Schizosaccharomyces pombe: one gene and its partners. The protein of the gene in region 3 interacts with the protein of the main gene of each other region in a pairwise test. Each region holds a gene or a part of one and is shown on either strand. Other genes may lie near its edges.

Evidence for each region.
Region 1: the proteins of cdc23 (region 3) and dpb2 interact in a two-hybrid assay, tested with the Schizosaccharomyces pombe proteins (2 studies listed by BioGRID).
Region 2: the proteins of cdc23 (region 3) and mcm6 interact in a two-hybrid assay, tested with the Schizosaccharomyces pombe proteins (4 studies listed by BioGRID, with this or other methods).

The regions. Positions count from the first base shown.
Region 1 is NC_003423.3:3,655,399-3,661,044, reverse strand, and holds dpb2 (DNA polymerase epsilon catalytic subunit B Dpb2), read left to right. Parts: upstream 1-2,114; 5' UTR 2,115-2,292; coding exon 2,293-3,810; intron 3,811-3,852; coding exon 3,853-3,963; intron 3,964-4,003; coding exon 4,004-4,159; 3' UTR 4,160-4,297; downstream 4,298-5,646. Other genes in the region: mpe1 (RBBP6 family ubiquitin-protein ligase E3), read left to right, coding at 1-872; protein vac7, read right to left, coding at 4,670-5,265, 5,341-5,500. UniProt on the Schizosaccharomyces pombe protein: As accessory component of the DNA polymerase epsilon (DNA polymerase II) participates in chromosomal DNA replication.
Region 2 is NC_003423.3:3,878,749-3,884,902, forward strand, and holds mcm6 (MCM complex subunit Mcm6), read right to left. Parts: upstream 4,310-6,154; 5' UTR 4,249-4,309; coding exon 1,570-4,248; 3' UTR 1,350-1,569; downstream 1-1,349. Other genes in the region: gea1 (guanyl-nucleotide exchange factor), read right to left, coding at 1-1,092; sap10 (splicing factor 3B), read left to right, coding at 4,473-4,475, 4,538-4,620, 4,676-4,847; gamma tubulin complex GCP4 subunit Gfh1, read left to right, coding at 5,185-6,154. UniProt on the Schizosaccharomyces pombe protein: Acts as a component of the mcm2-7 complex (mcm complex) which is the putative replicative helicase essential for 'once per cell cycle' DNA replication initiation and elongation in eukaryotic cells.
Region 3 is NC_003423.3:4,077,517-4,083,164, forward strand, and holds cdc23 (MCM-associated protein Mcm10), read left to right. Parts: upstream 1-1,540; 5' UTR 1,541-1,922; coding exon 1,923-3,704; 3' UTR 3,705-4,048; downstream 4,049-5,648. Other genes in the region: SPOM_SPBC1347.09 (hexaprenyldihydroxybenzoate methyltransferase), read left to right, coding at 1-788; protein sro1, read left to right, coding at 4,691-5,011; SPOM_SPBC1347.14C (uncharacterized protein), read right to left, coding at 4,763-5,128. UniProt on the Schizosaccharomyces pombe protein: Required for DNA synthesis. Required for entry into or completion of S phase. Involved in DNA replication and seems to participate in the activation of the pre-replication complex (pre-RC) and in transcription elongation.

The DNA of each region.
Region 1 (5,646 bases), 420 kb from region 3:
ACTGGATTCAAGCATGCCCTACCAACGCTGATCCTAATTACGATGGAAAACCAAGGGTAAAACGAACTACCGGAATACCTCGATCTTTTTTGAAAAACGTTGAAAGGCCTGCTGAAGGCGACGCTGCTAATATTATGATAAATGCTGAAGGAGATTATGTTGTAGTACAACCAGACGTAGCGTCTTGGGAAACATATCAATCTCGTAAAGCAGCTTTAACTGCGAATGACGTGTATAAAATGCAGCCTCCGAACATTTCTTTGGCATGTACATTATGTAAGAAATTAGCAAGAAATGCTTGCAGAACACCTTGTTGTGATAAACTTTTTTGTGAAGAGTGTATTCAAACGGCTCTTTTAGATTCGGATTTTGAATGTCCAAATTGCCATCGAAAAGATGTTTTGTTGGATACTTTAAACCCCGATTACCAAAAACAGAGGGAAATTGAGGCAGTCGTCAAATCTGTACTCGGTTCTAATAGCAAAAACAGTGATAAGGTTGGTACTTCTGACGATAACAATACACCAATGTCTGAAAAGCGCAAGCGTGAAGATGACGATGCAAATGGACCTAACAAATTTGCGGCAAGATCTTCTGCTGTGTTTTCCAAAGCCACCGCTGAACCAGCTTTTAAGTCAGCTATGGCCATCCCAGATATGCCATCAATGCCTCATGTCCAAGGGTTTCCGGCTCCTTTTCCCCCTTTTATGATGCCAGGCTTACCTCAAATGCCGCCTATGATGATGAATGCAATTGCTGGCCAAGTATATCATAATAATCGAAATCCACCTCGTACAAACTCTCGTCCTTCAAATGCGTCTGTTCCCCCACCATCCTCGCTACATAAGAATCCCCCTACTAAAACAAATTAGTTATTACTTATTTCTGATTTTCTTGTAAACTTGCGTTTACTGTTTACGTTGTTGAAAGTCCTTTTTTCAGCTATAATAGGGACAGTTACACATATTCATTCAAAAATTTTTATACTAATACATTCAATTAATACAATCTAATTTATGGAGCGTTTTTTTAATATGAGAGTAAATTCATATCTATTGACTTTTGAATTACTTCGAAGTGGATTTAAAAGTATTTAGTATCATATTTACATCAAAAAATGGATTGCTAACGGATTTGATGCTCAGCAAATTACTGCTGACGCTGATCAGGTGCCTTAACAAAAATTGTAATCTAAGAAATTAAAAATACTCAGAAAGTCATATTATATAAATCAGTAGTAATGTATTTTTTTTTATTTATTTGCAATATTGCAATAAATTTTTCAAAAAGCTTGTAGTAATAATAATAGAGAACAAACAATTCTTAGACTAAAGTTTCCGAGTAGAAGGATCAAGGATTCAGTACTCCTTAATTTTACAAAAGAATATTTATAAAAATAAGCTAATTTTCTAAATCAATTGACATTACAATTCGCCGATCAAATGTTTTATCAGAGAATATTATAAAATCAAAATATTTAGCTAAGCGAAATTTAAATGTATTTTCAATGCTAACAACACGTATTCAGATAATCTATTTATAGGCTTCTCGAAATGTTCCTATTATATAAAACAGCTTAGTTTACCTAAGTTTTACTTTATTTATTAACACATAATTTCAGCTTTCGTAAAGGAATTAATTATACTCAACATTTTGTTAGACATACTATAGTACGCTATGATACAGTACGTAGAGAATCACTATATATCATGTGTCCTAATTATTCATCGTACCACGTATGATACGATATTGAAATTGATTTTAATGATAGTCTATTAAGACCTATATCATTTAAATACTATTAATAGAGTTACTGATAAACTTCGTTCGTCAGTTCAGTTATAAGCTATGTTAGTGATAGTAACGCTATAAGTTGGATAGTATAATATCTATACTTAGTTGCTACTTATATTACCTTTATATCGCAATTTAATAGATCGCAAGAAAACCTCACCGCAATTCAGCGTATCGTTAATATGGATATTAAACTGCGTAGCTGACACAGTTTATGATTTTATAGTAGTGCGTTAAAATATTTTAATGAACCAGATTGAGAAGTTAGCATTTAGCATTTTGATATTAGACAAACAGTGAATAAAGGGTACACCATAGCTATCATCTACAGTAGTCCTTTGAAACTTTTTCACTTGAATCCAAAAAATTATTGATTACATCCTATGTTGATTAGAAAACCATATACATTGATCTGTCCTTGATACAGTGAGTGGGCACTAAACGATTCTATAAAATCAAAAAGCGAAGGGTTTGCATTAATATATTTCTTAAAATAGAATGAACAATTCCATTACGGATTCGGTAGAAAAAAAACCTGAACAGGTTAGTTTTGAAGTTCAACCCAATGCCCTTCGTCCGGTTGCTTTCCACGTATTTACCAGGAAGTACGATCTCAATATTAATCGTGACTCACTGCAGGAATTAGCATCTTTCGTATCTAAAAAATGCGGCTCACAATGGCGTTCCCAATGTGAGCCCTTACTAGACGAAATTGCAAAAACTTGGAAACGAGTTCATGAAACTCAACCTATAGTTACTCGACCTCTTTTGATCCCTGTCTTGGCAAATTTAAATGTTCCGCATGAAGTTCGCGTATCTTCCTTAGCAAGAGTTCAAACGCTTGAGACAACCGGTTCATTTTTAAATTCGAGTAATTCGGAAATCCGTGAAACTATAAAAAATGAGAAATACTTTAGAGTCCTTGATGCTTTTAAAATGCCTAAATTTAAGTACGATTCATCAAGAAAGGTTTTCGTTTTATCAAAACAGTCTCCTACTTTAATGGCATCTGCAAGTGCCTGCACAGATATGCTTAACCGCAGATTCAATGTTGTATATAGCCGTATTTTACGCAATGAATCTTTTCAAACACCTTCTTTCAGTGGCTCTTTCTCTCAAACAGGTACATATCAATTAACTCCTATTCGCAATTTATTAGGTCGAGCTGGAAACACATTTTTGTTGTTCGGACTCTTGACTATAGCTCCCGATGGTACCTTATGGCTGGAAGATCTTGACAGTCAAGTTCAACTAGACGTATCACAGGCAGAACAAGGGTTCGGTCTCTTTTGCCCTGGCTGCTTGGTACTTGTTAATGGTCAATTTCTAAGTTCTGGGCTATTTTTAGTTTTTGAGCTTGGTCATCCTCCCATTGAACGCCGTGATGCTTCCTTGAAGGCCCTTAATAATTTAGATATTTTGGGGTTGAATATGGATGCAAAGCAACTTGCTCTTCTCCGTCACGCGGAACAGGCATATCAGTCACAAGCTTTTGTTTGTATCAGCGAGGTTCATCTTGACAACCATCAAACTTTCTATGCATTAGAAAAAATATTCCAAAAATATGAATCCTCTGAAGCTGTGCCGTTTTGTATAATATTATGTGGAAGTTTTATGTCTTCCGCTTTCCATAATTCAGGAAGCTCAATTCAATATAAAGAAGGATTTAATAAGCTTGCAGCTTCTCTTGAGAAGTTTCCAAAAATTTGCGAAAAGACAAAATTCATATTTGTCCCCGGTCCAAACGACCCTTGGACGACAAATGGGATATCCTTAATGCCTAAGCATTCAATACCCCTTCATTTCGTAAATCGGATCCAACGCGTTTGTAAGCATACCATTTTCGCTTCAAACCCTTGCCGCATCATTTTCTTTTCTCAGGAAGTACTAATTTATAGAGACGATATATCAGGAAGATTTCAAAGGAATTCATTAAAGTTTGGGAAGACTCCCCAAGGTACCTCCAATATTAATTCTATACCCCTTGCAGAACAACAAGTGCATCAGCAAAGAAAAGTAAGCAAGTTTCTTATAATTTTTTTATGCTAATTTGTTTAGTTGGTTAAAACAGTTTTAGATCAGTCTCACCTTTCACCGTTTCCATCGAGAACACGACCAATATTGTGGGATTTTGATTATGCTTTATCAGTTTTCCCGCTTCCTAGCTGTGTACGTTATAAATCTTTTTTTTCTTTGCTAATATTTTTAGATGGGTCTAATAGATTCTGAGTCGTCGGCGTTTGATGTTCATTATGGAGGTTGCCCAACTTTTAATCCCGGTGCTCTTTTACTTGGCGTTCACTATAATTGGCAAGAAGTATTTCCAGTAAAAAAAGAAATAATTACACACAAGGAGAGAATTTAGGACTCAAATCTTTTCCTCATGTAACTGTATAATAATTGCTTAAAAAAGGCATTTCATTCATTAACATGTTAACGATTTTTAAGTTTGTTACATTTTACTGAGCCCCGAATAATAGAACGTTTATGTTAATTAAAAGATAAATCCAAGTAAGATTTCTCGTAAATTAGTAAACATTAATCAAATTAAACTATAAAATTAAGATTAAGGGTTAGTAGGAATAATTAAAAAAATATAGAAAACTCCCTACTAGAAAACAACATTTGTAAAATTCAATATCACTGCTGCGTACAACAACTTCCATGGAGGCAATCAATAGGTGCTATTAGCCTTTAAAAGAGTTGACCGAGTACACAGCATCAAAATACAGAACAACAGTTAATTTTTCCAAAAGGAGCACATAAACGATAAGGCATTAACATAATTCAAAAGGGCATAATAACAAAAGGTTAGCAAACGCTTTACAAGGCCTGACTTCATAATCAAAGAGCCGTATAAGTTGTATCTCACTTCTTATAACAACGGTTGGACTGCATAATGAAAATATACCAGAGATAGCACAACAAAACAAGCAAAGAAAAATGAAATCCATAATCTTTTATGGAGCAAGTTTCTAAGCATTTTCGTAGTAACATCACCACTTTCCTGACCAGACCTTCTACTTGTTCGAAAGGGCTCCTGAGAAGTGGAGGATAATTTTTTGTTAAGTAACGGTGACTTTGAGGTTGTAGGATTGATTTGCAAAGGCGATGTTGCCAAACCTCTAGCAGTGGTAGGACTATTACATCTAGTGTCACTACTTCCAACCATGCTGGAAAATTTTGCAGACCGTTTGGGAATCAACTTGCGACTATTACTAAGTGGGCCTCCGTTGAGCGCGTTAGTGCCTGCCGATCCATAATAAGGCACATGATTTATAGTTGGCAGCATTTCTAAGGGAAGGTTGTATGTTTGAAAAGAGTGAATGGATGCTGAAGGAGAATGTAATTCATCATCATTGGTAGGGATTAGGTTTTCGTAAACAAAATTTTCTGATTCTTCATCGTTTGGATCCTGATCAACGGCAGAGGCCACTCTTGCTGCAAACATAGCTGCTTTGGAAGTCATTACTAAAATGCATGTTAATATAATGATTGAAATAGACAAATTGTGTCCTCAAAAGCTAGCAGCTGCTAGATGCATACCATTGGGCAAACTAATTTTTTTCTTCTTTTGAGCATTTTTTTTTGTTTTAAGGGTTTCTAGAGACGCTTTTCTATCGCAACTGCTCGGAATCTGCACTTGAGACACATTCAAGACCGTCTCAGTCTCAACAGACATTTGCATAGGCTTGGGCTCCGACATATCCTCCTGATTAGCAGAATTTACGTATTTTCGAAGTTAGCTTATGAAAATATTTTGATTTTCGATATTTCCATTCCTATGTATATGTATTGGCATTCCACATTGGCAAAGGATAAATAGTGCAACATACATTTGACAAACGTCAA
Region 2 (6,154 bases), 200 kb from region 3:
CATTACAAGCAAGGAATTTGTCAGCAAAGCTGTATGATCACTACGAATGAGCTGTAGAAGTGATTTGCATAAAGTATCAGTGATGAGTACTCGAAGCGAAGGAAAATCGCTAATATGTGAACCAGAGACCTCTAAGGCTGTGTTTATAAATCTCAATGCCATGGCTTTAATATTATCAGAAAACTTTTGCTTGCCAAAGTCAATAAAGGAAACTAGTACACGAAAAACTTCGCGAATAGAACCAATACCGAAGGGATCGATTTCATTTGAAATCTCATCGCCTTCGGTGATTTTTTTGTAATGGAACTCCTCTCCTTTGATAGAGTGTTCTTCGGATGCGTCCCAAAAATCTTCACTATCCGTTTTCACATCAATGTACTTCAAGCGTTCAAATATCTTTTCAAGGATAGATGTCATCGATAATTCAGCACTATAGCGTAAAACTTGGGAAAGCCTAGACTGGCAACACATACTGAGCCCTGTTTCAACAATTTCGCAAATAGAATCATCACTCAAAACAGCTTTTCCAGGACCTCTTAACAATTCTTCCATTAGCCTAGAAACTCGCAACAATACAGCCTCATCCTGTGAAGCATCGAAGCTCTCAAAACGGCATTGAGTAATAGCAAACGATAGATTACGCATTGACAGTGCTAAATTGGGTGATTCTTCAGAAATGATTCGAAAAGAAAAGAATTTGAGTATAGCTGATAAACATAAGCTAGTTATATAACCTGTCATTCGTGGGGACTTGATTGTCCTCAAAAACGGAGAGAGAAGCTTTAAACTATCGTATCCATTTAAGCTAGCACGGTTCGTCAAATCTTCTTTTAACTGTGAAAACTCCATAACCAATGGATATCGGATACTACTGCTTTTTTCGCCATTTGTTTTCCATCGGCTTTCTAAACCATCAGCCAGAAATTCGTCTTTAAGTGTTGAGACTCCTAAAATGGATGCAACACCAGAATTCCTCCATCTCGTGGTTTTTCTAATTGCCGTCACGACAGTTATAATTTCATTGATCACCAAGGAGGACGGTGAAATCGAACATAACGGCTCTTGGTTAGGAGATGCGCGAGGCACTTCCATAGCCCTTCTGTAGCTACTAATCAAGAGTCTTTATAAAAAGTAACTTGAGGTGTTTACTATTGTAAATAGCGTAGAGGTTTAGTCCTGAACAGTCTCACCCTTCCTTTGGTGTTGAACGGATTTCAGCAGATATGCTTCAACATATTAACATTGCTTAACGTATCACTATACTAATTTACCTGGGTTATATGTTTGAAATAAACATAGATTAATCTGATAAATGTCTAGATCAGGAAAATGAGTATATATTTTTCGGTAGGATCCAATAGTATTATCAAATTTAGTGAATAAAAGTACAAAAAAAGAGTGTAAAGATTAAAATAACAAATCAGGGTTTCTACGGTATGCAGTGAGGAAAAAAAAAATACACCAATTTCGTGAATTAAAGTAGTGCTTCAACAATTAATGTCAGGTCTGTTTCAAAAATACGCCTCACTGATAAAACTTATAAGAGATCGTTACGAATCTTTTATAACCTTAGTTCGGAACATCGCCATTGCTCAGTAGAGCATCAATGTCACAGTTAGGGTGTATTGAAAATACGCGTTCTTCAAAAGGAAGCCTCACGGCGCTGTCAGTTAAATTTTGAATTTCCATGATGATCGATTCGTGAACAAGCCTGGTTAATACCTTACGCACAAGACCAACCTCATAGATGATGTCTTCCTCGGTATGGAATTGGTCTTCCCTAAGCTCGAGATATGACTGAACTAGGTCTCCCGCTGGTACTCCATCTACACCTTCAGTAGAGCGCTGGCGTAAAACCTGTAATATTCCGTTCATAATCGAAACATATTTGTCGTAAGTAATTTTTACTTTTGGTTTCTGCAAAGCTTCTTCCGAAGAAACATTATCATTGCCATTTGTTGTATTAGTATTATCATTCTCAAGTTCTTGGGCCTCTGCATCATCTTCTTCAACCTCAATATCATCTCTTTCCACATGGATAATTGATTGACGTAATAAAGAGTATGCTTCGTTGACAAATGCAGGAGTAATATCATCTACACAGTTTGCTCTTGCAATGGCTTCTGATAGACGAATCATTGACTCCAGTTGTCGCACGGTAATACGATATGAATTTTTACCAGCACCTTGCGCGTCATCCATCCGCAATTGCTTGTACTTTTTAACAATTTCGGCACAAGATTCTGTATTTAACTTTGGTTTGAAAGTCCTTGCATATCTGATATATCGTTGAAGTTGCTCAGTACTAAATTCAGGTTGCATGGCATCATCCCGTAAACGATGAATGTCAACAATATGCTTAGCTAAATGTCTATCAACTGATTCATTGCACTCATCTAGTACAACGAAGAATAAATCAAACCGTGACATGATAGGAGCAGACATATTGATGTTATTCCGCAAAGTTGTTTTTCGGTTATAGCGGCCACCTATTGGATTTGCAGCAGCAAGGATAGATGTCCGTGCGTTTAATGTAGCTTGAATTCCAGCTTTTGCTATAGATATCGTTTGTTGTTCCATTGCTTCATGAATAGCAACTTGGTCTGACAGATCCATTTTATCGAATTCATCTATAGCACATATTCCATTGTCAGCCAACATTAAAGCGCCTGCTTCTATAGTAAAATCCCCAGTTTCTTCGTCCTTAACAACTGCAGCTGTGAGACCGGCCGCAGATGATGCCTTTCCAGAAGTGTAGATTGCACGAGGAAGAAAATTGCAAACGTATTTAAGAAATTGTGATTTCGAAGTACTGGGGTCGCCGACAATACAAATGTTCAGGTCGCCACGAAGATTTATACCTTCAGGAGTTAACTTGTGAACACCACCCATTAACTGTAAAAGAATCCCCTTCTTAATTATTTCATGACCATAAACAGAGGGAGCCAGTGAGTTTGTCAAACGAGAATAAATATGATCTGAATGCACCATCGCACGTAAATCATCAATTTCTTCTTGAGAAAGCGATTGCAAAAATTCATCTTGCTCTTCGATCCCTTGAGAACCATCCCCTCTGACATCCGCACCGCTTTTATCATTTGCATCATCTGGTTGAACCATGCAAGCTAAAAAAGATAGTTTATATGTAAGATCACGTACACCTAAAGACTTCAGTCCTGTCACACCATCTGCATCTCTACCACCAAAATTGCGAGAATCTCGATAAGCTTCTGGCTTTACACCAGGAATTCCTAGCTGTGAGACATCTGGAACGGCAATAAGAATTCCCGTAAATGCGCATTTGTCACCAGCCTTAGCCCTTTCAACAATATCTCCGCGCAAAATTACGTCCAAAGTTCGTGGCATAGAACCCGTAGGAATCTCGTTGCTATTTTCTTGAATGCGCACCTTTTGCCAGTCCTGAAAAGAAGACTGTGAAATATTGAGCCGCCAACTTCTTTTATTAGCACAAAGTTCATTAGGGCATTGAGTTGGTTCAGTATAGCGAAATGCTTGCTCAACATTTGAAACTACAGTGTGGCATTCCTCACAGATAAAAGTACCTTGTGCTAATTCAGGGCGTACTTCAGAAGTACGAGTAACTGTACCTGTAATAGTCGTGAGTCTACCGATACGATCTGTTCGTAAGTCCCGAATTGTGGATCGAAAGGGTAAATTGTAAAATGCAAGAGCAAATGTTTTGTCACTGGCTTTAAAGTTCGGTGAAAGTGAAGCATTTTCACGAGAAAGAGAACTTCTATAATATTCTGGTTCAAACTTTTCAATCAACTTTTGTAAAGCTCGAAGTAAGAAAGGAGAAAATCGATAATATTGCTCAACTATCGCAAGAGCTAACACATCATTGTACGAGGTTAAATGCTTATAATCAACGTAAACGGTATGAATCTCATACATTGCCAATCCATGAATCTGTTGAACATAATATTTCTCTTGTGATGCAGAAGGGAGAGCATCACCTCCAGCAACGCGGTCATCAGAAAATGACAATAAAAACTCTTCAAAGGCTTCACGTACTGATTCTCCGGTTGTATCAATTACCTTTGGTATGGCTTCTCCTATAGCAGCAAAAGGTTTCCTTTTCACCATTCCATCATCCTCGAGCATAGCACTCGACTCAGGTTGTGAAGGCATACTTACAGTTGGCCTGTCCCCAACTTCTGAAGTTTGAAACCCATAACGATATGCAGGAGTTGAAGCATTATTACCCTGAGATGCAAGAGAAGACATCTTCAAGTGTAGTGCTCCCTATTATCAAAAAACTGCAACTACAGGTTTTTGGTCAAAGGATAGCAATGTTTATTTTGAAACGTTTATTTCTGTGGTTGCTTTGGTGCGCTAGAAATCGCAATTTAGAATTGCAAATTACAGTATTATACCTTATTCGTTTCAATTAACAATATGTGTTAAAAAAACCCAGTCTGAACATTATACCACATATTCCAATATATACTATGGTAAGAAAAAAATTCTTGAATTATCTCTATTCTATGCTTCTTTCATTTATTAACGATTGTAGGCAGACAGGTTGCGCTCTCAAGCAAAACTAGAACAGTTACAAGCGCGTTATGTTGGTGTCGGTAATGCGTTTACCACCAAATAGTAAGTACTAATCGGTTTATTTGACAAATGAATTTTCGCTCACCATATAAACTAGTGAATGGATGGTAAATCAGCACCGGGATACTTTGTCTTCTGTAGTGGGGCATCCACCGTTGCTCGCATATATGGCAACGGCGCTCGGCGAACCGAGAGTCCAAGTTCGCAAAAACCTATTAGAAAAAATGATCATGCCATGTGGACCACCTCCCCCTTCTAATCAATTTTAAAGTGTTGTGTTTACCTGTTGCCCAAAATTAATGTCGTTAAACCTTCGCTCGTCTGAGACTTTGTTTGTTTAAGATAAACAGTACCTACTAGGTTATTACAAAATAATATATATATATATATATATATATATATATTAATTGAATTATATGCAATGCTACATTGATTATTGTTCATTGTAACAACGCAAGACATTCCCTAGTCGTTACCTTCAAAGTAACACGAATAAGTTTTAGCTATTTATCTCATTTACTACGAAAGCCTCCTTTGGAGTAGTTTACTTAAATTGGCTATATGTTGAATATTTTCATGCAAACTCTGTAACAATAAATACATTATATGTTGCATGAGATTATTTTGTTGCTCGCAGGGAATACTTCTGGCCTGTTTATTGAGAAAAATGGTCAAATACTACTGCATCCATCTGTTCAACCATTACACCCTGGTGAACGAGAATTAATTAATGACATAGTATCTTTGGCAAGTAAAAGGAAAAGGATAGAACGATATATTGAAATTTTTGATGAAGATTTGATTCAGCAAAACCAGTTTCTTCTTAAAGCTCTTAGACTTCTGCTTTCGAAAAAATTATTTCTTTATGATGAAAGTCTAGCTAATTTAGAGCGGATGATTATATCCAGCGATCCTTATTTTGTAGGTTCCGGAAAATTCGTATCCTTGGCGCAATTAGAAGCGCATTTAGCAGATTGGAAAGAAACTTTATCTAGTCTGCTAGTACTTCAAGGTAATATTTCTCAATGCTTGAGTGTAGCTTCTACGTTTCAAAAGCTGCATAATATGTATATGGGCTCTACTCATTTGAATTTTAAAAAGCTGGTTTTAGAGTGTGAATGTGCTTTTCAGAAGACTTGGCTTGACGAATTAGTGCAGTATTTGGTAAATGATTCCGGCGATGACAGCTTCAAATGTTCGTTTTTATGCGGTGATACTAAAGATTTTGTATCTTGTAGCAATAATGTCCCTTTTTTGACCCAAGACATCGTTAATTGCTTAGTTTCAATACGAACGTGTATGCTCAATGCAAAAAAATGTTTCACAGACGCTTTCTGTGAAATTCTTAGATGTTTCTACAGACTGGTATATGAAATGCCTTTGCCTTTAACGAAATCTTCAGTGACAAAATTAGCAGATGAAATGTTCACTCTGGTATCAGAAAAAATAATATTTCAATTAGCTTCGTTTCATCAGATTTTCGATTTGGTAAAAATGCTAGAGATGGTGATGTTACTTGAAAATGTTGAGTTTCTTCCAACATTATCTGAAATGTTCAGAGACGTTCGTGGTGAAT
Region 3 (5,648 bases):
CAAGTACCTTGGCGATTTCCAAAGTGATTTCTTCAAAAATTTTACAGTTTGAAGACAATTCCGAAACCAGCCTAAGACATGATCTCCCAAAATATGATCAAGATAGGCTGCTTTTAACTTCGGATGATGATTTGACAAATGTAAATAATTTTTGGAAGAAAAGTGGTATGAGTATATTGGATTTTGCTTGTGGAACTGGTTTAATTAGCCAACACCTGTTCCCTTACTGTAAACAAATTGTTGGCATAGACGTTTCCCAAGACATGGTGGACGTTTATAATGAAAAATTTAGAAAGATGAACATTCCCAAAGAAAGAGCCTGTGCATATGTTTTAAGTTTGGATGATTTGGATGGCAACGGCGATGAACCATTTTCTACTGAATTTGATGCTGTTGTATGCTCCATGGCATATCATCATATCAAGGACCTACAGGAAGTGACTAATAAGCTTTCTAAACTTTTAAAACCTAATGGTCGATTATTTGTCGCAGATTTAATAAAGGGGGGTGATACTTTTCATGGTAATTTGCATCCTGATGAAATAGCTAAGCTTGGCGTAGCTCATCATGGTGGATTTACTCCGCAATCAATTTTGAATTTATTCAAAAATGCATCTTTGTCAAACGCTGAAGTCATTGGTAAAGCTCAGGCAAATGTGTGGGTCGATGAAGCTAAGTATCAACGGTCAACCCAGTCAAAAGACGCTAAAACCTTAGATTTAGCTAACGGAGAGAAGCTGTATGAGGTAAAATTACAGCTGATGGTTATTAGTGGTATCAAAACATGATCCCCTTAATTTTTAATTAGGGATAAACAAATGAATGGTCTGGGTACCCGATTTTAGAAGGTGAAGCAATCAGACCAGGAATTGCTTCATTTAAACAAGTATTGATGTCCATTAAATTGATAGCTTATGATAACTTATAACACTGTGAGTCCCGGTGATTCATTTAAACGAAACTACATACTGAGCATTCAGAAAGGACTAAACTTCATTGAAACGACAATTTCGAATATGATCAACCAAATATTATGTGGGATTACAGGCTTTTTTTATACAATACTGGAAATTTCGTTATATGATTTTTCTTCATAAGTTGGTTTCAAAAGAACTGGCCAACTGTTGTCACAAAGATTTTAATATTAAGCGCAAATTTGAATAGACAACGGAAACTAGGCAATCTCTTCCACCAAATGTAAAAAAAAGTTCGACGTTTAAAATTTAACTGTTCAAAATACCCCTTTTAAATAAGTTACTATATGCATTTGAATACTGTAGACACATCTTTTATGATTCTATATAGACAAATATCGTAAGTTTATATTATGTAAATGAATTCGTGATATCGAACGTGTATACTCATTAAATTAGCGCATCTATTTTAACCTTTTATTATTCAAACTGCAGTTATGTTGTTTACCTATAGCATGTGTAGTATAGAGAGGATTTAATTTTGCACATTATGCTTGTTTATGCACTACATTTTGCATCCTTAAACACATGTCCTTTAGATGTCCGCTAACTGTTTACATTCCTATATGTTTAACCGCGATTTTTAAGTATTGGAAAATAAGAATATCTTGTTAAAAAGATTTATAATTATTACTTGCTTCCTTTTCCAGGACTAAAGAATTTCCTGTTTTTGGCACTAAACTTTTCAACAATATCTTCGCATTTCAAAATACAAATGTGGCAGTATTAAATTTATCCTGTTATTTGTTTTGGCTACTCATACAATAGAGAAGAAAATTTTATTGATCAGAGTTTTTTTAATTTCCTGAAAAGCTAGTTTTCTAGGGTTGGGTTGAAAAGTTTCAGTATTCGTGAGAAATTGACTATATCTAACAGGCGGGGGGTTTTTTTTATCATTGACTTTGGAGGTTTAAGATTAAGAGGAAACCAAGTTTAATTAATGCAAGTATGCATGATCCCTTCATTGCAGAAGAAAATGACTTGGACCTGGAAGAAAAGAGGTTACAGAGGCAGCTAAATGAAATTCAAGAAAAGAAGCGTCTACGAAGTGCTCAAAAGGAGGCTTCTTCGGAGAACGCTGAAGTTATTCAGGTTCCAAGATCTCCTCCTCAGCAAGTTCGTGTCCTTACAGTCAGCTCGCCTAGTAAACTAAAAAGTCCCAAGCGATTGATATTAGGAATCGATAAAGGAAAGACGGGGAAAGATGTTTCATTAGGAAAAGGGCCTCGAGGGCCTCTACCAAAACCATTTCACGAACGACTTGCAGAGGCAAGGAACCAAGAAAGGAAGAGGAGCGATAAATTGAAAACGATGAAAAAAAATAGAAAGCAATCGTTCCAGAGGAAGCGAAACATACTTGAAGATGGAAAAAGTGAAGAGGAGAAATTTCCTATGAAATGTGATGAAATCGATCCTTATTCAAGACAAGCCATTGTTATTCGATACATAAGTGATGAGGTTGCTAAGGAAAATATAGGGGGAAATCAAGTTTATCTCATTCACCAACTACTCAAACTAGTAAGAGCTCCTAAATTTGAAGCGCCAGAAGTTGACAACTATGTAGTTATGGGCATTGTTGCCAGTAATAGTGGAACCAGAGAAACTGTGAATGGGAATAAATATTGTATGCTAACACTGACTGACTTGAAATGGCAACTGGAGTGCTTCCTGTTTGGAAAGGCGTTTGAACGATACTGGAAGATCCAGAGTGGTACTGTCATTGCGCTTCTCAATCCTGAAGTACTAAAGCCAAAGAACCCAGACATTGGACGCTTTTCTCTGAAGCTGGATTCTGAGTACGATGTACTTTTAGAGATTGGTCGCTCCAAACACCTTGGCTATTGTTCCAGCCGAAGAAAAAGCGGTGAACTATGTAAACATTGGCTCGACAAGCGTGCCGGAGATGTATGTGAATATCACGTTGACCTCGCTGTCCAGCGGTCCATGTCTACGCGAACGGAGTTTGCTTCAAGTATGGCGACTATGCACGAGCCTCGCGCACGACGTGAAAAGCGATTTCGTGGACAAGGGTTCCAAGGATACTTTGCTGGGGAAAAGTATTCCGCAATTCCTAACGCAGTAGCTGGTTTGTATGATGCAGAAGACGCCGTTCAGACCGAGAGGGAGCGCAAGGAACGATACAAAAAACAACGAGCGCAGGCTGAACGCGAGCGTGAAATTTTGGTGCGATTATCGAAGCGATGTTGCGCTTCCTCTTCGTCTAGCTCTAACTCGAATAACCTCTCTACGGGAATGTCGATGCGAACACTCGGCCATCAGTATCTAAATTTACAAGGTTCCGGCGTTAAAAATTTACATGACAAGGGTAATCCCACTGCTCTTTCTAAAGATAGCGAAATTGATTCATCGACGAAAAAACCATCCGTTCTGGCCTCTTTTAATGCATCTATAATGAACCCTAAATCCTCTCTACCATCTTTTTCTAACTCTGCTATTCTCGGCACTAACGATGCGGCATCAGGGACACCCGTTCCACAAGATACTACATCCACCAAAGTTTCCCCAGCGGTAGTGTTTACCTCTTCGCCGAGGATTTTTTCCCCCCAAAGTCTACGAAAAATAGGTTTCGATCCAACGCATTCCGCAGATGCATCTACAACGCACTCCACAGCGACTGGACTTTCACGATCCGGCTCCCTAAAAAATATCAAATTCCGATATGAATTTACTGAGAGTGATGATGAGGATGACTTAGAAATAGTTCCCTGAATTTTACGTTGTTTTTCTATACATTATGATGAAAATTAATTATTTAAATTACTAACCAACTTACTAATTAATTAGCTAGCTAATGGATATAGCTATGATTTCAAATGAATGTTCTTTTGTTTACATGCGACACACTTTGCTATCATGAAACTTTCAACCCTTTGTTAAACCTTTCTTCTAAATCCTAATCCTTAGTAAATCCCAATGGAATATTTGAAACGCTTATTAAACACAGTCGCTCTTTTCATTTGTGATGTCAACTGTTTGAATTCAATGTGCGAAGTCTCCCTTTTTTGTTCTGCTAGCTTCTCTCTCATACAAGAACGGCCGTTACAGCTTTTGACATCACATTGTTTATTAATCAAACGAACGTAAGCTTACTTTCATATGGTATGATGGGCTTGTAAGCAATACTAAGATAGCCAGCCAAACTGAGGTACTGTCGACACCTTTAGCTTACGATTGCTTTCGTCTAGGTATCGGACTTTACACTGCTAGTCGCCTATTTTAACGTTGCGCCGTATGGAACGGGTATCGCATTCTTATCAGTAAGGAAAGCTATCTGAATTCGTCACAAAGGAAAAGGCAAATAAATAGTCTAAAACTATATAAATGCGGGCTTCCATCTAAGAGACCTCGCCATCCAACAATTGTTGCGTCCCACCTAAACAGTGTCTAATCAAAGTCAATTGCGAGACATTCTAAAGTAAAAAGTTAATACATTTTAGCTACTACTAAATACTTCTTTTGATATTCTTTTTAGTGAACAATAAAGAATATTGGTTTGATCAACACGGTCATCTTCAGAAAAAAAATTTTTTATTCGTTGGTTTAATTAGTTAAGAAAATTTTTTTTTTCTTTCTTCGCTGACGTCTCGATAATTAAATCTGCGAACGGTGATACTTCTATTCTACACATTTCTATTTAATCACTGTTATTTTCTTTTCTTTTTAATTTCATCAATAAACATTTTTGATTCATCGCTATGTTTTCTATTCTTAAACAAGGTGTCATCTCCAAGTCTCTTTTAGCCGCTACCTCTTTAAAGGCAACGGCTTCAAGATTTTCCTTCTCTACTAGTGTTGCTTCCCGTGTTGACGGTACTAAGAATGGTTGGTCTTTTACCGCATCCAATGTTGCTGATCAAACCACCGATATCGGCATTAACTCTGAGTCGGCTATGAGCTGTAACGACCAAGAGCAACCTCTTTCCTTTTACGTTCAAACTGTCAGAGATGACTTGAACTCTCCTAATTGGGGAGCTGAGCAAAGAAAGGGTGCATTTGATTGGGAAGTAAGCGCTTAAACCCGAATATTGTATACAAGAAGAAAACCCGATTTCCGTTATGATCAGAAGAAAATAATAAAAAGGGAAAACAAAAAATTGGAAAATTGAATGTTTTATCTTATTCGATAAAAGCATTAAACAATCTAACAATGCAATCTTTTTTAATTCGTTATTTTCGCTTTTCTTTTTTTTTTACTCTTCTTGATGTAATTGTTAAGACATGGATTTTATTTTTATTTTTCTAAGGAATTTCGATTATTGGAATTCTTTTACCACCCCCATCCCTCTTTTTATTACCAGTTTCAACACATTGGTTCCCCTGCTTTAGAATGTTTATCGATATAAGCCGTGAACGGTTCCTTGCTTTTACCATTTTTAAATGAGGCAAGACATATGTATTATTAGTTTATACCCCCAAGACTTGTTAGTCTTTATATTATTAGTTTGTCTACTTGTTGACTATAATGATAGTCGCTGATAAAGTTGAAGTTTCCACCTTAATCTTTGTTATTTTATATCCAATTCGCCATGGTCACATTGATTTGATTGAATTTTCGGTTGCTGGATTACAAAAAAGAAATGCCAAATGCGATACAACTGTTACATTTAGATTCAGAATAGGAAATTGTTTGTATAATTAAAAAATAGAAATTGT